Diceros bicornis minor: one gene and its partners. The protein of the gene in region 1 interacts with the protein of each later gene in a biochemical or structural test. Links are inferred from orthologs where the notes say so. Each region holds a gene or a part of one and is shown on either strand. Other genes may lie near its edges.

Region 1 (7,472 bases):
GGAAGTAAGTTTGGAAGACAGCATAAGGGAGCGGGGAGAGCATTGGCCCAGGATCTGTCACTAACCAGAGGAACCCTGAAAAATCCCTCTCTTAGGCTCTGCAAAATAAAATGGTCACATGAGACAGGATCTAAAAATCTGTTTAGATTTTTGAACTTTATATCTGTGGTTCTCAACCAGGGGCAATTTCACCCCTCAAGAGGTGTTTGGTAATGTAATGTCTGGAGACATTTTTGGTCGGCACAACTCAGAGGGTGCTACTGGCATCTAATGGGTAGAGGCCAGGGATGCTGCTGAACATCAGACAATGCACAAAACAGCCCCCATCACAGAGAATCACCTGGTCCAAATGTTAATAGTGCCAAGGTTGAGAAATTGGTTTATACTGAAGTGAGGAGTGTCAAAAGGAGAGGGAAGAAATGGACAGAAGGAAAGAAGGAGGAGGGCTTATAATGCTGTTTCTAGGTCATGAGATATTCCTCAGTTAAGTATTTTCCAGCTTTCGCTGTATGACCAATGCCCTTTCACTCTCCCTTGGAATTACAGGGCTCTGTTTGAGTAGCTTTTTCACAATAACTTCTTCCTTATCCTTAAAATGCCAAAGCCTGAGGTAGTACAAAGATCTCCACTCTAAGACATGGCAAAGACATAAATATAAGCAGCTATCCAACAAGTAGAGCTGGAAGGTGGGTGGTGGGGTTCATGGAGGGACAAAACAGATGTCCATAACTCCATTTCTATGAGTCAGTGTTTCTGATGTGACAACACAGAATAATAACCGTAGGACAAGTGAGACAAGCTATGCTGGGGGCAGGCAGAACTGATTTGGGGCCCTAGCGTTAGGAGAGATACAGGTTTGCAGATTCAAAGGCAAATGAAAGGGTTAAGCAATCAGTGCTTGTCATTCCTGTGTTATTCCATATTAAGTCACTGGGCAGTTATTACAAATAGTTACCTGCGGTTTCCAGTGGGGGAGGAACCACACTCCAGTCAAGGGGTTTTGGAGAAACAGGTGCAATGAAGTCATGGTCAAACAATTTATTTACCGTAAACTTTAGACTTTGCTCCGGAAAACAAGTGAAGCTGCCCCTCAAATCCCTGCCTATGACACCCTGTTTGAGCAAATCAGAGGAGCGGGGAGAGTCCTTGTTCACAGCTGAAAGGTCCGAGATACTCAAGATCCTCCAGTCCAAGGGTGCAGGAAGGAAAGACTCCTTCAGATACAAATTACCAGCAGCAATATATTACGCCTAATACTTGACCAATGAGGTAGATATGCAGAAAAGTCATCACAACATAGCAGCCCCAGGTTCTCTGGGACTGAAGCCCTTCAGACATAAACTTACAAGTTCCATGCAAAGAGGAACTGAACTGTACAAGAAACAAATACTCACTCAAATATGTTTTCTCTTTTTTACAGCTTAAAAAAATAAAAAAAAAGGCAGAAGGATGTCCTTCCTCCTGCACATCTCTATACAACTTTATTCTAAATTTATTACACTCAAGTTAAATAGTCTGCTTAGTGTTTTGTTAGGGGGGGTCTTAAAAGGTAGAAAAACCGCATTACAGCACTGAGTCATTGGTACTACAATTCATCCCTTGTGAATCAACGCTATCGTTAGCCACAGTACCTTGACGGTTCACAAAGTCTTCTGTGCCTGGGTTGTCCTCAAACAGCAGTTCGCTGTCTCTCTCCTGACCCAGCTGATCTCCACTCTGTTCCCCTGCATAGTCACTTCTGCCGTCACTGTTGCTGGAGTAGCCATTCCCATAGGCCTTCACAGAAGACCTGCGCAGGCACAGAAGCTCCTGGAAGGCAATCCTGAAATCCGGGCTCCGGCAGTAGATCAGGGGATTGAAGGCGGAGTTGACATAGCCCACCCAGTTTAGGAGGATGTAAATTTCCTTAGGGATGAGGTTATCCTGGATCACATGCACGATGTTCACGATGAAGAAGGGCAGCCAGCACAGGGTGAAAGTGCCCATGATGATGCCTAAAGTTTTGAGTGCTTTGTGTTCCTTTAAGCAGAACTTGGAGGTCCTTCGAAGTCCATGCCCGCTCCGCCCATCCTGTTCCACTTGGCTGAGGTTTTGGGCATGGAAGCGGCCCTCAGATTTGTCGATCTTCTGGAGCTGTCTTTTGGCCACCTGGAAGACCCTGGAGTAGACAAAGACCATGACCACCAGGGGCAAGTAGAAGGACACGATGGAGGAGGCAATGGCATAGGCTTGGTTCGTGAAGAAGTCACAGCAAGTCTCCTTGGCATAGCAGTTGATGGCTTCCTTGTGGGTGGCCCGGTACCAGTGCATCTGGATGGGTAAGAAGGAGGTAAGGCCTGACACAATCCACACCATCAAAACGACCACTCGGGCCTTATTCTTGGTCAGCAGGCTCTGGTACTTGAAGGGTGAGGTGATGGCAACGTAGCGATCCACTGCGATCACGCACAGGGTCTCAATGCTGGCCGTGACGCACAAGACATCAATGGAAGTCCAAAACTCGCACCAGAAGTTGCCAAAAGTCCACATTTTCATGAGGATATGGCTGGCCCCAAAAGGCACCACCGCCAGGCCCATGACCAGGTCAGCACAGGCCAGGGAAATGATGAAGTAGTTGGTGACCGTCTGCAGACGCTCGAACTTGGCGATGGCTGTGATAACCAGCACGTTTCCAAACACGATGGCCAGGACGATAAGGGACATGACGATGGCCATGCCCACCAGCCACGCCTCGTCCCGTTCCTGCGTGACATCTTGGTCCGGCGCGTGGCTTCCGTTGGGCGTCAACAAGAAGACGCTGCCGTTCCCGAGTTGCCCCATGGCGCGCAGGCTGGCAGGTGAGCGCACTGGCTGCCAGCGCACCGGCCGCGCCTCAGCGGGCGGACCTCCGGCGGGGCGCTGCCGGCAGCGAGCTGACGCCCAGAAGCCTCATTCAGCGGCCGTGGGGTGGGTGTGGTTGCGGCGCGTCCTGCACTCAGCTTGTGGGGTGCTCTGGGCTCGCGGTGCCTGTCAGTCTCAGCCTGCGCTCTGGAGAAGCCGCCTAGGAGTGTGCGCTGCCCGTTATGTGCACAGGGCTTTAGGGGAGCTGCCCTCCCCGTGACGTGCGGGAACTTTCCGCCAATGGCGCGCCGGCAGCCCCAAAGGGGCGAGGCCTCCGCCCCTTCCCTCCCCTCCCTCTCCCACCCACTCCTGGCGCTGGCCCGGGCGGGGCTCGGCTGCTCCCCAGCGGACGGGCGGGCCACCACTCCCTCCCGGCTACCCTGGCTGGTCCCGGAGGGCTGAAGCTCGAACTGGCCCGCTTACGAGCCAACCCGAGAGCTTTTGGCTCTTCTGTGGCTGCTACCTGTCTGCAGTGGGGGCCTGTGCGGCCCGAGGTCTGAGAGCAGAGGGCAGCACGCGGGCACTCCCCCGCATTCGGAAACAGAGACCAGAGTGCCCACTGAGACATGCACGGACAGGCACACACGCACCCCGACAGACATGCTCAGACTTATACGGAGCCACAGCCACCGACGCTGAGACACACCCGTCCAGCGCACCGACGAGCACACGAGCGCGGGCGCACAGAAACCGACAGTCACCCCTGTCAACACAGATACGCGGCCAGAAACAAGCACAGGGGCACCCAGAAGCACAAAGGCATGGGCTCACACACAAAAAGAAGTAAACAACACACAAACGCTCCTTCTGGAGGCATGCACAGCGCCACCGACACGGACGTCCCCATCCAGGTACTCCAAACCCCTCACCCCTGCACCCCCGACCTCCTCCCCACCCCCTTCCACCACACATACGGACACACAGCATATACCCTTTCAAACATTTGGCAAGACCACAGGAGGTGACTTCAACAGCTGCCGATTTCCTCAGCACACTCTCTATCAAGCACTTTTGGTGCCCTCCTTGGGAATTTGCAAGCATTGAGACATACAATTTCACACTTTGGATTTCATTTGGAGCTGGGTGTGCATGTATGTGTTTTGGACGAGAGAAAGAAAGTTGTATGCTTTAATTTTTAATTCTTGTGAGTGTGGCATCATTCCCTCATTATCTGTTGGAATGAAAATGTATTGAAAATGGAAGAATTTTCCTTTCAACCTCAACTTCAGCAATCCCATTGTAAGTAGGAAAATCCTTTCATCTGCTGGGTAGTTTGTTGATCTGTTGGTTGAGCCATATCGGCAGTTTCTGACTTAAAAAATGTCACTTTCATATGGCTCAGACTATGAAGAATGTGTTGCCATTACGACTGTTTGGAAACCACAGAAAGCAAAAGATAATTTCTCCTTAAAAAACAAAAGTCAGACCAAGCCTTAAAACTAGGATCTTTGCCGGTGAAATACTATCCTTGGCATCTGGCATATGACTTCACTGTTAAAAAGAAATTAATTTTCAGGGTTTGATTTCACATGTATTAGTAGTGTCTTTGAAAAACTGAAAGTAATTCGTGTGGTGTAACCAAACATACTTTGTAGATTGCATAATAACATAACAATGGTTAACATTTATGGAACATTCTGCTGTGTGCTCTTCCTGCATTGTTCCATTTAATCCTTCCCACTGTCCCATGGTAGAGGGGATACTATTTTTAGCCTAATTCACAAATGGAGCTCAAAGAGGAAAAATCTTGCCTAGGGGCACAGGGTCAGAGGCAGGAGGTGAACCCAGATCTACCTGACTCTAAAACCCATCTTTTCATTTGTTCAGTGTACCGCATCATCATATACAAAAAGGAATGGAGGACTGGGAAGAACTCCAACTGGAATTGGAGTACCCAGGATGCAGATCCCCCTGTCTCGGAACTTTCTAGCTCACTTTCCTTAGGCAAATGACAAAGATGGGGCCTAATTTCATTCATCTCTAAAGGGGGAATAAAGTCATTTCCATTAGGCTGAGTGAGAATCAAATGATATAATAATAAATGTAGAAGTGCTTTGGCACATATAAATGAGACATAAATATGGGTTATAAATGAACTTTATGTAAATTACTTAGTAGTTTAGAATATGCTGTTAGTCTTCTCTACCAGGACAATAAAGGACAGAAGTAACTTGGGCAGTTACTCTAGAAGTAAAACTCAGAAACAAAATTTAACCGTACATGCACCTTTTAACTTCCTTCACTAGCAGAAACTGTTTTCGCAAGGCAGATGCCTTACAAAACAAATATTTCCCATAGAAAGCCACAAATATTAATTAAGGTTCTATTATGTTCACATAGTTTTCAAAATATAACTACCCCATATTTGTGTTTTCCAAAATTGGCTCTGGTATGATGCATTTTAGGAGGAAGGAGTGTCTGTTATGCAACACGTTTCTTTAAATATACATCTACCCCAAATCGTGGAACTGAGCCATTTAAAACCTCCTTCCTGTTTGTGAAGCTATGGGATAAACAAGCATATTGTTTAACCTTCCCATAACAAGAAAAAGAACGAAAATGCTTTTAGGACAAACACTAATTGATCATTTAGGTATGCACGTAAGTCACTTAAAAGTTTAACTTTTTTTTTTTTTTTGTGAGGAAGATCAGCACTGAGCTAACATCTGATGCCAATCTCCTCTTTTTGCTGAGGAAGATTTGCCCTGAGCTAATATCCGTACCCATCTTCCTCTACTTTATATGGGACGTCACCACAGCGTGGCTCTACAAGCGGTGCCTCGGTGTGCGCCCGGGATCCGAACCGGCAAACCGCGGGCCGCAGCGGAGCGCACACACCTAACCGCTTGAGCCACCTGGCCGGCCCCAAAAGTTTAACTTTTAATATTTGGGGAAACACCTTTTAAGAAACACACAAACACTAAATCAAGAAGGGAAGACTGCTTATGTCAATGAGGAAGTTCTAGGCCTCTGCTCACCAGCCTTGCCAAATGGACAAGCTCTCTCTATCTCTGCTGCATCATGAAGCTGGTAGGAATTTCAAGATGCTGTCTTCACGCCAGGAGTCTTCTCCTGACCTCCTTTTAGAACTATAGGATTAGAGAGAACTAGAACGGGAAAGAGTATAGTAGATCGTTCAGTTTATTCCTCTCCCTCCGGTTTGCAAATGAGGAAACTAAAGGGTAGAAGCGAGTATCCAGTCCAAGGAGGGCAGGGAAAATTAGGAGCCAAGTCTGCTCCTGGGCTCACGTGTTTTCACTGCCCACTCTTTCGTTTCTTTCCCTAGCAGAGGACTTTGACTAGCACTGCTTACTGTATTTGTGGCCTTAGGGAGTTCATGCTTCATGAAACTGGAAAGTCCTTAGTAGACTAAATGCACCTTTATCTGATGTAAGAAAAAGCAGGCTCTTTTATGGTGATTGATAGTGTCTAATTACGTATTTTGTCAATCTGTTAAGACACTGATTCGTTGTTTCCTGCCTGCCAAGCAGGAAAAAAAACACATTTTGATTTACTGAACCAATGTTTGAATAGGACTAAGGGCTCTGTGGTGCCACGAGATGCCTTCGCACCAGTAGCTGTGTGGCTTAGGAAAATCTTATCCTGGTCTTGGCTTAGACAAGATTCCTTTCATCTTTATGACCCTCTGAGCAGAGAAACATCCGTAGATTTCTTTCTAAATGATGGTCTTAAATGTCTGTCTTTAATATTATCTCTGTACAGCATCATCTCGTTAAATTAACATTAAATAAGATTAATTGCACGTAAAGTGCTTAACAGGCTATCTTGGAGAAAAGTTAGCTATTACTTTTTTTTTTTTTTTTTTTTTTTTATTTGTGAGGAGATCAGCCCTGAGCTAACATCCGCCAATCCTCCTCTTTTTTTGCTGAGGAAGACGGCCCTGGGCTAACATCGGTGCCTATCTTCCTCCACTTTATATGGGACGCCGCCACAGCATGGCTTACCAAGCAGTGCGTCGGTGCGCGCCCGGGATCCGAACCAGCGAACCCCGGGCCGCCGCAGCGGAGCGCGCGCACTTAACCACTTGCGCCACCGGGCCGGCCCCTAAAGTTAGCTATTACTTTTGTTATCTTATTTTTGAATCAAAATGTATATGTAGAATGCATATTTATCTTAGATCACATGTATGAAAGGACACTTTGAACATGGATGATGAGTAATTTATTTTTAATTTGAATTGACAGGAAAAAAAGGAATAAAACTTGGTTCTTTAGAAAGAAGAATGATTCTGAATATTACCATTATCATTGAGTTATGTTCCTGCATGGGATATTAGTGGTTCTGAATGAAACATCTCACAGTCTAGTCAGCTCCTTACACAATGCAGCCACCAAAACTCTTATACAGCCATGTTTAGTGAAGGCAAGCTCGCCAGCTCCATTTTTCAGTGTATATTTCTCCAACTATCCAGATATTGAACTGAAATCCATGTTCTTAAAGTGTCTACCCAAGCATCTTAAGTCTGCCCCCTTGAGGCCACTCAAAGCAAAGCTCCTCTTCCCCAAGACTGTCCTTAAGCTTTTGGGAGAATCCCTTCAAGTTCTCCTGAGCCTTCTCTTCTTCAGGTTAAA
Region 2 (7,981 bases), about 25 Mb from region 1:
CAGGAGGAGGGCTCATGGGGGCCACCCTAGAGCCTCTCCACCCCAGGAAGCCACTGGAGGGTTCTGAGCAGGAGAGTGATGGGATCAGGCTGATTATTTTTATTTTTTAATTTTATTATTATTATTATTATTATTATTATTATTTGCTGGGGAAGATTGGCCCTGAGCGAACATCTGTGCCCATCTTCCTCTATTTTGTATGTGAGACGCCGTCACAGCATGGCTTGATGAGTGGTGTGTAGGTCTGCGCCTGGGATCCAAACCTGCGAACCCTGGGCCACAGAAGTGGAGCACGTGAACTTAACTATGCCACTGGGCTGGCCCATGATTATTTTTAAAATAAGCAATATCTTCACAGGATGCAAGATTAAAAGTCCAAAAGGGTTTATGATGAAAAGCCTCCCCTCCCACACCTGTCCCCGGCCTTTTAACTCCCCCTTCCCAGAAGCAACCAGTGTTCTGTGCCTCCTGTGGCCTTCCAGAGGCGGGCCATGCATGTAGAAGCAAATTCGTCTATAGTAGTTAGTGTTGTTCACCAAATATTATTTCCAATTCTATTCTCCTTCCAGGCATATAGTAGTTATTCCAGGAATCTATCTCTGCGTAACAAACCACTCCTAATTTAGGGGCATAAAACAACAACTTTTTTTTTTTTTTTTGGTGAGGAAGCTTCGCCCAGAGCTAACACCTGTTGCCGATCTTTCTCTTTTTTCTTGCCTGAGGAAGATTAGCTCTGAGCTAACATTTGTGCCAATCTTCCTCTATTTTGTATGTGGGTCGCCGCCACAGCATTGCTGACAAGTGGTGTAGGTCCGCACCTGGGATCCAAACCCGCAAACCTGGGCTGCCAAAGTGGAGCACACCGATCTTAACCACTACACCATGGGGCCAGCCCCAACAGCAACCATCTTATTATGCTCATGGGTTTTGCAGGTCAGGAATTCAGGCAGGACACAGCAGGAATGGCATGTCTCTGTACCACAGTGCCAGGGGTCGCAGCTGGGGATACTTGAATGGCTGGGGCTGATTCCAATGGCTAGGAGCTGGAATCACCTGGAGGCTTCCTCACTCAAATGTCTGGTGCTCGGGTGGGACAACTGGAAGGCTGAGCTCAGCAGGGACTGTTGAGCAGAGCAGAGCACCTACACGTGGCTTTTCCATTCAGTGTGGGCTTCACACAGCACGGCCGCTGATTCTGAGGGAACATCCCAGGAGAAGCTTCTGGAGAATAGGCATTACGAGAAAACAAGGCTGCATGACTTTCCTGACCTAGCCTCAGACCTCACGTGCATCACTTCCACCAGATTCTACTGATGCTGAGAGTCAGTAAGGCCAGACCAGAGTCAAGGACAGGGAAATGAGAGCCCATTTGTTGATGTGGGGGTGTCAAGGTCACACTGAAGAAGTGCCCGTGGGATGAGAGCTTATTGTGACACTCATCTTTGGAAAATACCATCTGCCACAGCAGTGCTGTACCTCCCCACCCCTTTTGAGTTAGTCGTGACCATGTGGTTTGCCTTGACCAATGAAATGTGAGCAGAAGTGACTTGTGTCACTTTCGGGTGCAAGCTTTAAAGGCCATTGTGATTCACCACATTTCTTTTTACTGTCTGCCATTGTAGAAGCACAAATTGAGATGGAGCCCCCTCATCTTGAGTCCCTGATTGACCGCCCTGTGTGGAGCCTCCCCACCGCCCAACAACGTGTGTTGGACTTGCCGTGTATCTGAGAAATACACTTTGGTTGTTTTAAGTCACTGAAATTTGGGGATTGTGTGTTACTAGAGCATAACCTAGCCTATCCTGACCCTTTTACACAAATGGTAGCGAACCTGACACACTGTTCTGCACTTTGCTTTTTCATTTAACAATACATCTTGAGGATTGTTTATATCAGTACATAAAGAGCACTCCCACACGTTTTTAAAACAGCTACATAGTATTCCTGTATAGAAAAGGACTAAATTTTACTTAACTAGTCCCTATAAAGACAATTAGTACGTTTCATCTTTTCGGACAATGCTGCAATGAAGAAACTTGAACATTCATTTCTTATTTTGCTTGAGTGCAATTATATTTGTAGCATAAGTTTCTAGAAATGCATATCTCAGAGAGTTGGTGGCAGGTTTCCCTTTTAAAAAGGATCACTTGGCTGTACGGCGAGAATGGGTTGAAGAGTCAGCATCTGACAGCTGTGCATGACACCTTTCCCTCCTCACCTCATATCAATTGCCATGTCCTGTTCACCCCAGCTCCATGAGACCTCTCAATCTGGCCACTTGTCTACATCCCCTGGCCACTGCCCCAGCACAGGGCACTGTCATTCCTCTCTCGAATGGCTCCTCTTGAAAGGTCTTCCACTTGTCTTACTCAGGATATTTGGCTGCAAACAACGAAGCCACTCTGGGTGACTTAGGCAGACAAGGAACTGATTGGACAGCTCCTGGGTGCTTGCTGAATCCCCCTACCCAGGAAGAGCCTGGCTTGACCACATCCACCTCCCCTTCCACTGCCTCCATAATGAATCCTAAATGGTCCGTCTGATGTCTTATGTTAATCACTTGCTTTGGATTCATAGAGCTGATTGGAATCATTGGAAACATGCTCCAGCTACCAGGGACCTTGGAGAGGAAATTCTGCCTCCCCTCTGACTTCCCTAGTGGAAGGCAGGGGCTGTCTCTGCATTTCATAGGTTTCCTCCCAAAAGAAAGGGGTGTTCAGATGCTGAACACCAAAACAACAGGTGTCTACAGGTCAGCCTAAGCCCTTCACTCCTGACCTTTGACCCCATCCCTAGCACATCTTCCACAGTGTGGCTCAGAGCCCTCTGTGTAAGCAAATCTGATCACACTACTCCCTGACTTAAAAAACCCTTGACAGCTCCCCACTATCCTCAAAATGAAGTCCAAACTCCTTACCCGGCTTCCAAAGACCTTCCTGATCCAGGCCACTCCTAAGGCCTCAGCCTCATTTTTTGCCTCCCGTGCCCACCCCAATGTGTACCTGAAACTGGTCCAAGGCTCTGCCCCCGGTGCAGGAGCCCTTACCACCTTCCTCTACGGAGCTTTGAGTATGTGCTGGCCCTCTGTCCAGAAGTCTCTTTCCCCCTGCTCCAGTTATCTCTGAAACCTGCATCTTCTCCCCCACCCCTCAGGTCTCACTCGACACAGCAGCCTTCACTGGGTGAGGTGCCTGCCTTTTGTCCCACTGGCCACTGGGTTCTCCTCTTTCAAGGTACTTATCTTTACTCCCATATGCGTCCTAGATGCATGCACTTTTCTTCATCTCCACTGCCACTCTCTTGGTCCAAGCCACCATCCTCTCTGTCCTGGAATTCTGTAGCCTCCCAACTACTCTCTCTGCTTCCAGTCTTGGCCCCCTAAAAGTCCACTAGCTAGAGTGATCTTTTTAAATCTAAATTATTCTTTCAAAGGCTTCACATTTCACTTAAGAAAAACAAACTCCTTGCTATGGTCTACAAAGCCTTCCACGATCTAGCTGGGATCCTTGCTCCTTCATCTCATCTCAGACCACTGGGCTCTGAAGTTACACAGGCCTTCTTCCTGTTCCTTGAACACACCAAACTTACTCTAGGCTCAGAGCCTTTGCACCCGCTGTTGCCTCAGCTTGGAACTGTTCCCCTAGGTCTTTGTGTGGCTGGATCTGCTCAAATGCCGCACTCTGAGACCATTTCTCCTCACTCTGTATTTTGTCTTAATAGCACTTATCACTCTTGGAGACTATCCTATTTATTTGTGTATTTACAGGATTATCACCTTTAGTCCCCTCTAGCATGTGAGCAGGGAGCTTGGCTGTCTTGCTGACACCACTGTATTCCCCAGCACTTGGCTTGGTGCCTGGCAGAAAGCAGGTGCTCTGTATTTTTGGATGAATGAATGGATAGAGATCAGAGAAGCCTAGTTGAATCCAACTCTGCCTTACTCGCTGAGTTTGGGCAAGCCTCCTTTCCTGGTGTGTGAAGTGGGGGTGGAGAGAGTAGGATGCTGAGCTAGAAGCTGTTAATTAGCTGTAAAATTTCGGCCTGTTTTCTCCCTAGTCTTCGGCCTGGAGCCAGCCACTGGACCTCTGGCGCCTCAGTTCCCCACCTGTATAATGGGTGTGACCTCATCCCAACGTCTCGGGGTGGTAGCGCTGCCTTATAAGGCAGCAGAAGCCGAGGGCGGCCAAGGCCGTGTGGGTGGAGAGAAATCACAACATCCGGCTGCGGGGGCGGGGCGAGGGTGCCTGCTGCGCCCAGGCCAGAGGCCGGAGAGCCGCGGGGGAGGCCGTCAGCCTCCTCCGGGCCTCTCCCCGCTTCCGACGTGTGCCCTCCAGTATGGGCCGACCCAAAGGAATACGGCCGGACACATGGCCCAAACAAGCTCGCAGCAGGCCCGCAGGAGGCCCAGGATGCCAAGTGTGTCTCTACAAACCCTACAAAAGCCAAGGCGAGCTCAAGGGACCCGGGCCACACCCCATCTGATGGCCCAATCAGAGTGCACTGCTGAGAATGACTGACGCTTCCAAAATCCAATCAAACTTCCGGCCTCCGGGGCGTGACCCAGAGGACCCACCTCTGGTGTCCCAGCGGAGGGCTCGGCCCTAATTGGCAGTTCGGTATCCTATGAAGGCCCAGAAATTCGAACCTAGGGGCTAAACCCCACCGCAGACCAACCAGGAAGCGGTGACGTATTAAGTCCCGCCCCCCTTCTCCTTTGAGCGAATCCCTGGCTCGGGGGGCGGGGGAAGATGAAGAGGCTGTCTAATGGGAAGACGGCGCGGGGAGCGCCCGCTGGGTTATTGGCCGAGTAAAGTAAACAGAGGGCGGGGCGGGGCGGGCCGGCGCCGGGGTGGCCCCCGGGAGGGGGCGGAGAGTGCGCGGCGGGCGGCGGCGGCCGGGGAGGCCCGGGAGGCCGCGGCGCGGTCACTGCGAGCCGAGCCGAGCCGAGCCGCGCCGATCGCCATCCGGCCCCGGCTCCCGCGCGCGATCCCGCCGGCGGCGCGGCCCGGCGGGCCCGGCGGCGCCGCAGCCCATGGAGCTCGAGAACATCGTAGCAAACACGGTGCTACTCAAGGCCCGGGAAGGTGAGGCTGCCGGGCTGCCGGGCGGCCGGGTGCGGGAAACGCGGGCGCGCGGCCTCCGACTTTGGCGGGGCGCCCCGGCCGTCCGAACCCCTCGGGCAGCGCGCCCCCCACCCCGCGCGGACGCGAGCCCTTCCGGCTGGTCGTCCTCCTCCTCCGCACCTGCGGGGGCCCAGGAAGGGGCGGGGGTCAGGCCGCCGCCCTCGCGGCGGGGGGGTGAGGGGTGAGGGAAGGAGAGAGGAAGGAAGAGGGAAGGGTGGGACCTGAGCCCCGGGAGAGCCTCTCCGAGGCGTCTCCCAGATGAGAGGTTCGAGAAGATGCCCCAGGAAGGGGCAGCCTGCCCCACGTGCCCCGGGCCTAGACCCCCGGGTCCAGCCCGAACTGGCACCAAGTTGGTCCAGAGTAAAGGCTGCAGAATGAATGAACGAACGGAGCCTCCGCCGTAACAGAGCCCACCCGACTTGGGGAAACTGCTGGTCACATATGCTATCAGTACAACTGCAGTTGCTGGGTGCCTCAGGACACTGGGGACAGAGGTGACTGGGTAACAATTTTTGCTCTCAGGAAGCCCACAATCTAGTGGGGCAGACGGGTAGAGAAATAAGTGGCAGCTGAGCTTTGAAGTAAGAGAGCGTGCTGGGCATGCAGAGGGAGCCGGTCTGGTGAACTGAGTGTGTGCTGGGCTCCTCATGGCTCCCAGCCCAGATGTTACCAGGCACCTGCTCTATGATAGTCATGGGGGACATGGAAGGACCAGACCTGGTCCTCGCTGCCTTGTGGTCAGTTTGCCCTTCATCTGCCATTGTCCACCTCAATAACAGAATAACCCAGAACCCACTCTCTGCCCTGTCCTGTCCAGGGTGCTGGAGTCCCAGCATTGAACAAGACCCTTTTTGGAACTGTAGGGCAGGGAGGTCATGACAGTTTTTCCATTCTTTGCTGGCCCTCCAGGCTGAAAGAGTCACTGCTTCACCTTTCTGCTCCATTTTACAGGTGGGAAACTGAGGCTCAGACCAGGGACTAGTCCCTAGGTCACACAGCCACACTGTGGTTGACTCAGGCCTGGGGCGCAGGATGCCCCCAACACAGTCTGTAGGAAGCCCAGAGGAGCCCCCAGCTGGCACAGCATTGGGTGCCCCCTGCCTGCCCAGTGCATGTTGACCTCAGGGAGGTGCTGCCTGGAAATGGGCATGGCAGACTGGGTCCTTAGTGCCCAGAGCCTGACTTATCTCCTGTCCCTTATCGAGTCCCGGGGCTGGGCCTTCCTCTCAGCCTCTGGGGGCGTCTGTCGATTCTATTCTGCCTCGTCATCCAGCCAGCCAGGGAGGAGGGGTGGGGAGAGCCTGGCCAGGCCTCCCTCCCTAGGGCTGTAGCCAGTTCAGGCCTCCGGCACTGCCTTGCCTGGCCAAGGAGTGTGGGCACCTTCAGACAGGCTTCCTCAGGCGCTGAGTGAGGCGTAGCAGGGTATGGTCGGACTGAGGACTGTGCCTCCACTGGATGAGCCCTTGCCCCGACCTGTCTCTGCCCTTTCCACCTGCGTGGCTCTAGACAAGTCTCTTCTCTCTGAACCTCAGTAACCCTTTTTGTGGAGTGGTTGGGGACAGGACATGAAAACTAAAGGAAATCCCAGTTGTCACCAAGTCCCAAACCCTGGCCCCTGGACTGGCTATGTCGGAATCCCTCCGTGAACTGGCTGACAGCTCGGGGCCAGGCTTTTGCCAGCTTCCCAAGTGATCTGAGGCCCTAAGTGGTTTGGGAACCTTTGGTGTATGTATTCAGTTGACATCTAATAGATGCCCGGCATGTTTGGGGTGGGGAAGGAGATTGGGTATTGGTCCCAGGGAGCTGGGTTCGAATCTTGCCTCTGGCACCTCCAGACTTTGGATCTTGGACAAACTGATTCTTCCTTTCAGGGCCTCAGTTTTCTCATGAAATTGGGAGAGTTGCTGGGAGGGTGAAGTGGGACAGCACTGGGGGTGTGAGCCCTTGCTCATCCTTCCTTTCCCAGGTGCCCAGAGGCACAGGGAGGGGGCCAACCTAGGGTGCGGAGGAGCCCCACTGACTCTGGTGGCAGTTCTAGGACAGGATATTTGCATGTGACTCTTTGCTGCTGCCTTGTTGTGGCTGGGAGGAGGGGGAGGAGGAAGTAACTGGTGGGGGGAGGCAGGCGGATGGAGGGTTGGGTGAGGGACCTGCGGGGGTGAGGGAGGAGTTCCCCTTCTGGGGAGGCCTTGCCCGGGTTGGGGGTGGAGGGTCTGTTGCTCACTCACAGTGGAGCAATGATGGGGGGCTGTGCTGGGTGCAGGCTGCAGGAGGGCTGCTAGCAAGTTTCCCAATGGGTGCCTTGTGATACTTCCTCCTCCAGGCAGCTTAGGTCAGGGAGCCTTTTGAGGGACCCAGCCCTGCCTGCTCCCTAGAAGAAGGCCCCTCCTCCTGCACCACCTGCCTTCAGGCTGGCTAAAACCAGAGGGGAAACTGAGGCTGGGCAAAGGAAAGTGATTCCCTGAGGTTCCCACTGAGTTGTTGGAGCGGGGGCCCACTTTGCCACAGCCCTACTGAGTGCTGGACACAGACTCTCCCAGTCACCCACTACCTCCGGAGGTGGCTTTGGACCCAAAGTACACATGGAGAAATTGAGTTTCACAGAGGGCAAGTGATGGGCCTAAAGTGTGAATTGGAGATTCAAACCCAGGTCTATGAGACTAAGACTCAGGCCCCTGCCACTGTTCTCAACCTTCTGGCCCACAGGCCACATCTTTCTAGCTCTCTAACATGTTTTATTTATTTGGCTGCAGTGGGTTTTAAAAAAAATGGGAAGCAATATTTCATGTAACAGTCCAGATAACCAGCTGCTTTTGAAAAATCAGAAGATCTGGCCACACTGAGCCTGCATTCCTGCC
Region 3 (7,156 bases), on another chromosome or scaffold:
GCTCCCCAGAGGAGGGAGGCCAGCTGGCACATTCCACAAAACATGGAGGGGGTGAGAGCAGAGGTGCAGAGGCGTGTGTGGAGAAAACGAAGCACAGCAGTGAGAGAGCCCCTGGGGGTGCAGAGACCCGCGTTCAAATTCTAGCTTGTCTCTGTGACCAAGTGTGTCCCCCCCCCCCCGCCTTTCTGAGCCTCAGTTGCTTCAACTATTAAATGGGAGCATACCACTTGCTGTGCCTGCTGCCCACAGCTGTGAAAAGGATAAAATGGAGTAAAAAGCAAACTGGGACGTGCCAGGCAAACACAAGATACAGTCATGATGACCTCCCAGGGCAGGAGGCACCTGACCCACTGGGTGTGCAAAGCATAAAGCAAAGGGTGACGTGTCCTCCAACGCAGGAGACCTGGACTCCCAGGGCCAGCCCCGGCCTGCTGCACAGAGTGGCTCTGGCCCTTCCCTGTCCTTAGCCCACTGTCAGTCACTGCTAGAGCCTCTGGTCCACCTCACAGATGGGGGCAATCTGCCCAAGGTCGTGCTGCCAGATGGTGACCCTATATGAGAACCCATGACACCTGGCTCCCGTCTCCTGCTGTTCCCCTAAAACTCGCAGTCCACCTGGCTTCTGACACCACACAGTCCCGATAGTTCTTGAGCAACTACTACACGCAAGGCACAGCCTTGCCAACTTCACAGGTTGAGTTTTGGATCAACTGAGATGACAGATGTCAAAATAAATAATAAATTATAATTTCCACCATCACTCCTGTCGCCACCATCACTACCACGGATGGTAAAGGGGACAGGAAAAGAGGAACGCCTCGTTTCTCAGGGTTCTAACACCTGCATGGCCAACCCAAGGCGGGGCCCCATCAGGAGCAATGCATTCTGGGGAGAGATTACCCAAAGGCAGAGAGTTCCAGAAAAGGCCCCGCCTCACACTTTGCAGAACTCCAACCGGCAGGAGGGTCTCAAGGCCGCGGCCACCAAGGAGAGCCGTTGAGAACCCCAAAGGTTGACTTCCCCCATTTCCTCCCTCGTGGCTTTGTCATTTCTGAACTCATTTTTGTTCTAACTGTTGCCGCTCCCTGGACAGCCCCCAGCTAACAGTCAGTCTGGTTCCTGTTTTGAGAAATCTGACTGCAAATGTCTTAGAAAAAAAGGGCTCTAACGACCTTTTCAAAATGCAGACCCATTTTCCTCTCCCAGGCCTGGTGTGCAGTCAACCCGAAACCCAGCAAGAACAAGGCATGGACGGGGGAACCGGAGACATCAGCATGGCACCCCCTGCAGCCTCGGGCCCTGCTTCAAAGACTCAGAACGCCGCACAGTCTCAGCCATTATTTCACACCATCCACATTTCACAGATGAGAAAACCGAGGCCCAGAAACGGGAAGGGACTTGCCCAAAGTCACATGATAAGACCATGACACCTAGCACAGGCCCAGGCTCCCGGGCCAGCCAGGCACCAGCATGCCAACTCTCAGGCAGGTATGGAGGTCGTGCTGGGACTGGCCTGGCCACATGACATGAGGACTCGTGGTGGGCACACGGCTCTCGTAGATGCAGAACGGCCAGGCCCCGGCTCACGCCAGAGTGGTGGACACAATATGGAACTAGAAGCCGGAAGCCCTGATCTGGGGGCCAGGCACCACTCTGGATTACCTGTGACACTGGGCAGGCTTCAGCTTCTCCACCTGTGCCATGGGGACAAAACCACACCTGTCCTACCTCCTCATGGGCTGCTGTCAGGCTCAAACAACGAGCAAATACTCTAGAAGCCATAAAACGCTGGACAAGCCTCAGCTATCGTCCGTATCCTGTGTACTTCTGATACTACATCCTGAACAGTTTCAACTTTGATACCAGGTGTGATGACATCAGATGTCTCATGGAGAGGGGGCAGCCTTGGTCCAGCTGCTGCAGGGTTCTGGGATGTTCCCCTGCAAACAGCACCCACAGGGCACCACAGGCAGGGCCCACCAGAGGGGGAATGCGAGGGGAGAGGGACAGGGGGCGTCTCTCCCACTGGGATGGGGCACACACCACACCCTGCTCCTCACCACCACCCTGGCCCCCAAAGCACTCTCAAACCCCACTCCAAGCCAGCGACCGACCAGAAGGGTGCAGAAGACCCCGGAAGACTTGTCTCCCCCAGATCTCACACAAGTGTTGACCAGAGGGGGCTAGGGGTAGGGGTAGTGGAACCCCAAGGGGGGTGCCCAGAATAGAGGCAGTAAAAGGATGGGCAATAGAGTCAGGCCAGGTAGATGGTGGCAGCCGGAGGAGGGGACCCCACGGGGAGCACGGGCTGCCCGGAGGAGGATGAAGGGAGGCATGGGGCCCCTGTGGGAGAAGGGAGGAGCAGGGGCCGACAGAGATGAGGGCCAGCTAGAGTGGAGGAAGGGACAGGGGGGTAGAGCGGGGCGGGGGGTACGGAGCGCTCGAGGAGCCAGCGGGGCAGGAAAGCCCCGGCGTTGGGGCGCCCGGGTTCAGGTGCACGGGGCCTGGGGCTGCGGGGTCGGCTCGGGGCTGCGGGTCCCGGGGCGGTGGACGGGCTGAGAGGTCCCGGGCTCGCGCCTGGGGGGTCTGGGGCTGAGGGCTGGGGGTCGGGCGCCGGCTCGGGGGGCCGGGCAGGGCGCCCGCGGGCGCAGGCGCGGGCGCGGGCCGGGGCCGGCGCCGGCGCCGCCTCACCTGGGCTCGGGCAGCAGGATCTTCTTGCTGGCGCGCGCGGCCGGCGTGGCCTTGCTCTTCTCCATGGCCATCAGGTAGCTCACGTCGGCCAGCACCGCCTCCAGGTCCGCCATCTTGGCGGCGGCGGCGGCCTCTCCCGCCGCTCGGCTCGGCTCCGCTCCGCTCGGCTCGGCGCGCTCGGCCCGGCCCGGCCGCTCCGTCGGCCTCGGGCGCCGCCGCCCGCCCGGCCCCGCTCGGCGCCCGCGGCTCCGCTCGCCGCGGCTCACAGGCGGCGCCGCCCCATGGCGCCGGCTCGGGCCCGGCCCCGGCTCGCTCCGCTCCCGCCGGGACTGCAGTCGGGCCGCCGCCGCCGCCGCCGCCGCCACCGCCGCCCCGGAGCCGCCGCCGCCTCCGGCCCCGCCTGCCGCGCACAGCGCCAGCGAACCCGCGAGGGCCGGGAGGGCGGGCGGGCGGCGGCGCCCCCTGGAGGCCGTGCGGCGGACCGAGCCTGACCCCGTGGCCGCCCGGACCCCAACTCAGACCCGACCCCTCCCCGGGCCTGGGCCGTGACCCTGACCCCAGACCTGGAACACGACAGGGACCCGGCACCGAAGGAGGCCCTAGACCCAGACCTTGACCGCAACTCGGATCCCAGCTCGGATCCCAGACTCCAGGATAGACCACGGCCCTGACCCCAGACTGGCACTTCAGAACATGATCCCAGGGACTTGGGTCTCAGACCCTGGCTTTAACCCCTGACTCCCTGACCTTGGACGCAGTCCACCACGTGACATAAGACCTGGATAACATTCCTGACCCCAGACTCCAAACAGGACCCTAGACCCAAACCTTGGACCACCACCTCAGACTCTGACCACAACCTTGGATCACAACCTGGGGTCCCCAACTCCACAGCCAGACCCTGACACGGACCCCAGACCCCCAACAGGACCCCAGATCCAGATTTTAGACCATGACCTCAAACACTGATCCCAGCCACAGACCATGACCTGGATCCCATCCTGGTTACTGACCCCAACCTTGATTCCAACCCCAGGTCCAGACCACTACCGTGACCCTAAACCCTGGACTTGGGGGCAGGGCCCAGATCCAGACTTGAACTGTCAACCCTAGACCAGGGTCCTAGACCCAACACCAAGAACTCTGGACGGGGACCCAGGACCAGGACATCCAATCAGGACCCAGACTGGACCTAGAACCCTTAACAGGTGGCCATGAACCTGGGACATGACAACTCCAGACTTAGCCCAGTCAGTTCTTACCCCTCCTGCTCCAGACCCAACCCTGACCCCAGGACTCCCACTCGGGACCAAACAACCTGAACCAACCCCTACCCTCCCTGGACTGGCTTGTAGACCCAGGTCCTGGCCTGCACCCCAGGCCATCCATGGCATTATGATGGAATCATCATGATTCCACAAGACGGGCTCAAACCTCTCTTAGCCTGGGAGGGCACAGGGGTCTCAGTGCTGCCTGGTAAGGGAAACATCCTCTGCTGAGAGCCCACAGTAGGGGGATCCATGTGTCTCAAAGCAGCACCCCCTATCTCAACATGCCCCTCTCTAGAGCCTCTCTCTGCTTTCCAAGGTGACAAGATCCCCTCCCAGTCCCGGGCATATGGAGCCCAAGCCTCATGACAGTTTGTGGGCCAGTAACCAGGACCCTTTTGCAAAGCAGGGACCCCCCTCCCTGTACACCTCTCAGGCTACCTTCTGAGATCAGCGTTGGCAGAGTCTGGAACCAGAGCACATCAGAGATGGCAAGGTCCCCTTCTCAGTGGGCGACACCACCATCCACCCAGATACCCAAGCCAGATCTCCGGGCATCATCCTTGACTCCTCTCTCTCCCCCTGCCCTAATCTATCACCATACCCTCTTGTCTGGCCTCCTGAGAACCTGTCTTCTTGAACCTGTCTGCTTCTCAGCATCCCCATGGCTGCTGCCCTGATACAGGCCCTGACCAGAGATGCCGCTCCCACATCTAGATCTCATGGAGTTACTGCCTGCTTAGCACCAAGAAGCAGTGTTCGAGGCCTTCTGGAGCTGCTGAGCATGGGGGACACCCCCACTCTGCCCAAAGCAGATCAGGTGAACAAGTTCCTTAACCTGCAAGTCAGGGTCTTGGATGCCTGGGCCCTGCTCCCCTTTCCAGCTTGTGTCGCCACCATCCTCTGCACCTAGGGTCCCCCTACCAGCCCACCCACCAGTTCTTACCTCTGTGCCATTGCCCTTCCCTGTGCCTGGAAGCCCTCTGTGTGCCCTCTTCCTGGCTAACTCCTGCTCATCCTTTAAGACCCACCTCCTCCAGGTAGCCTTCCCCAACACCCTGACCCCCATTGTGTGCATCTCCAATTCTACACTTACCACCTATTTCCTTGATTTGAAAACATCATCAACTGCAAGATGCATCATTTCCAGTTTAGACACTGGGTGTGTGTGAAGCTTTATAACATGTTTGCATGGATTGGAAAATGCACCCTGATGTCAGAAATGCTAATGTGTGCCAAAAAAAAAAAAAAGTATTTACCATCTCCCACTGTAACTGATGCTCCCAGTTCATCTCTTTGCCCCCAGTTCCCACCATGGGACCTGACACAGAAAGGCATAGTCAATGTTTGATGAATGAATGACTGACTGAGTGAATGAGCTCCTCAGCCCAAGGTGGCACGTGGAGTTTGGGGCAGAACAGGGCCAGAGGCACATGAGGATGCCACAACAGGAGGCCTCTCACCTTCCCTCCTGCCCCGCCCTGACTCTTCAACTCTTTGGGACTCTGATTACAGCCACACGCTGACCTGGGTTTTCTGGAGCAGCTCCTATTTTAAAAATTCTGCCTGATGAACTTGTCAAACCAGAATCCCCGTTGGTTCTGAAATGCCAGCCATCCTGCTCCAGAAGGTGGCCCTACCTTCCCCCCACCGCCTGAAAACCCACACTGCCTCTCCCACCCACAGCCCAACCTGCAGCCCTGGTGAGCCTGAAGCCTGGGGACTTTGGAAAGAGCCAGTGTCCAGGGCACCCCTCATTGATTCCTGGGATCCTGGAAAGCCACTCCTGAAGCCCTGGGCTGGGAAGAGGTTGGTGCCAGTCCATGGCCTGGGGAGGCTGGTTTTTTTGGATGGTGCTGCCCTCTGGTGGTTGAAGGAAGGTCAACTGTAAACTTGTCTTTTCAGGCTGGCTTCAGTCATTCCTTGTCTCAGCAAACCTTTGTCATTGCCCAGACTGTGCCAGCCTCCGGCTGGGATGTTGGGAGTGAAAGAGGGGTGGAACCCCATCTCTGCCCAGCTGGCAGACCCACATACACATCAGTACCTGGCATCTCCCCTGGATGACTAATAGGTGTTGCAAACTTAACGCGTCCCACACTGAGCTCTTGCTCCCACCACCCAGCCGCTGTCCAACCCGCTGCTCTCCCGCCTCCCCATCTCAGTCGTGGCTCCTCCACCTTCCAAAAGCCTAGGAGTCATCCTTGATTCCTGTCTTCCCTCACCTGCCCTGCCTCACACATACACATGCTCTCATCCAGCCTGTCTTGTCGACTCCCTGGTGTGTCTGTCTCCAAAGTTTACTCCGAATCCTTCCACTGTGCCCTGCTAAACCCGATCCGAATCCCATCACTTCCCGCCTGGTGCTGATGCCTGCACCAGCCTCCTCTCAGGGCTCCCCGCCTCTCCTCTAGTCAGAGTTTTTACAGGCCTAAATCAAACCCCACCTCCGATGGCTGCCCCTGCACTTAGGATAAAACCCAGCCCCCTTTCTGTGGCCTGTAAGACCCGCACAGTCTGGCTCCTGCCTACCTCTCTAACTCAACTTCATGCCCGGGCCCCTTAGTCTCCAGTCTCTCTGGTCTTCCTTCTGTCACTATAACAAGCTAAGTTCATTTCCACCTCTGGGGTCCTGACTTCATAATTCCCCTTGTCTGGAATGTCCTTCCCCTCCTTTCCGGCAAGGTGGGCTCCTGCTCACCCTGCATCTCGTGGGCTGAAAGGTTCCTGCTCAAGGGCTCTCCCTTGGCGCCCCTGTTTGTCATGGTCACTACTGCATCCCTCACAACCAGCATGGCACTCAGCACTAGGTTAGGGCTGCAAAGAGAAACAGGATTCAGCGGTGGCCCAGTCCAGTGGGGAAGAAGACCCCTAAACATATACCTCCAATTAACCCGGCAAGAGCTATGATTTGAGGAGGTGGAGCACTCAGGAGAAGGTCAGGGGAAGGGTTGGGGAAAGGTCATAGAGGGCAGAGGAGGAATGGGGAAGGTCTTGAACTTGACATTGTGTGCATGTGAATGTGAGTGAGGACTGGCACGTGCCAAGGCCCAGGAGTGCACCGCAGCCCCTCACGTCTCCATCTCCATCGTCCTGGGCTTTGAAGATCCAGGAGGATGAGCTTGGGGGCTTCCCTGACCCCAGGAGGGGTGTCCAGATTGATCGGGAGAAACTCCTGCCTAACACAGACAGACACCTCT

What was found.
Region 2: the proteins of ADRB2 (region 1) and GRK6 form a complex in vitro, tested with the Homo sapiens proteins (2 studies listed by BioGRID, with this or other methods). The link is inferred for Diceros bicornis minor from reciprocal best matches to the Homo sapiens genes ADRB2 and GRK6.
Region 3: the proteins of ADRB2 (region 1) and GRK2 form a complex in vitro, tested with the Homo sapiens proteins (2 studies listed by BioGRID, with this or other methods). The link is inferred for Diceros bicornis minor from reciprocal best matches to the Homo sapiens genes ADRB2 and GRK2.

Annotation. Positions count from the first base shown.
Region 1 is NC_080740.1:66,047,559-66,055,030, reverse strand, and holds the start of ADRB2 (beta-2 adrenergic receptor), read right to left. Parts: upstream 3,047-7,472; 5' UTR 2,821-3,046; coding exon 1,564-2,820; 3' UTR 1-1,563. UniProt on the Homo sapiens protein: Beta-adrenergic receptors mediate the catecholamine-induced activation of adenylate cyclase through the action of G proteins. The beta-2-adrenergic receptor binds epinephrine with an approximately 30-fold greater affinity than it does norepinephrine.
Region 2 is NC_080740.1:90,637,849-90,645,829, forward strand, and holds the start of GRK6 (G protein-coupled receptor kinase 6), read left to right. Parts: upstream 1-4,939; 5' UTR 4,940-5,032; coding exon 5,033-5,084; intron 5,085-7,981.
Region 3 is NC_080770.1:6,236,450-6,243,605, forward strand, and holds the start of GRK2 (beta-adrenergic receptor kinase 1), read right to left. Parts: upstream 3,010-7,156; 5' UTR 2,805-3,009; coding exon 2,692-2,804; intron 1-2,691. UniProt on the Homo sapiens protein: Specifically phosphorylates the agonist-occupied form of the beta-adrenergic and closely related receptors, probably inducing a desensitization of them. Key regulator of LPAR1 signaling.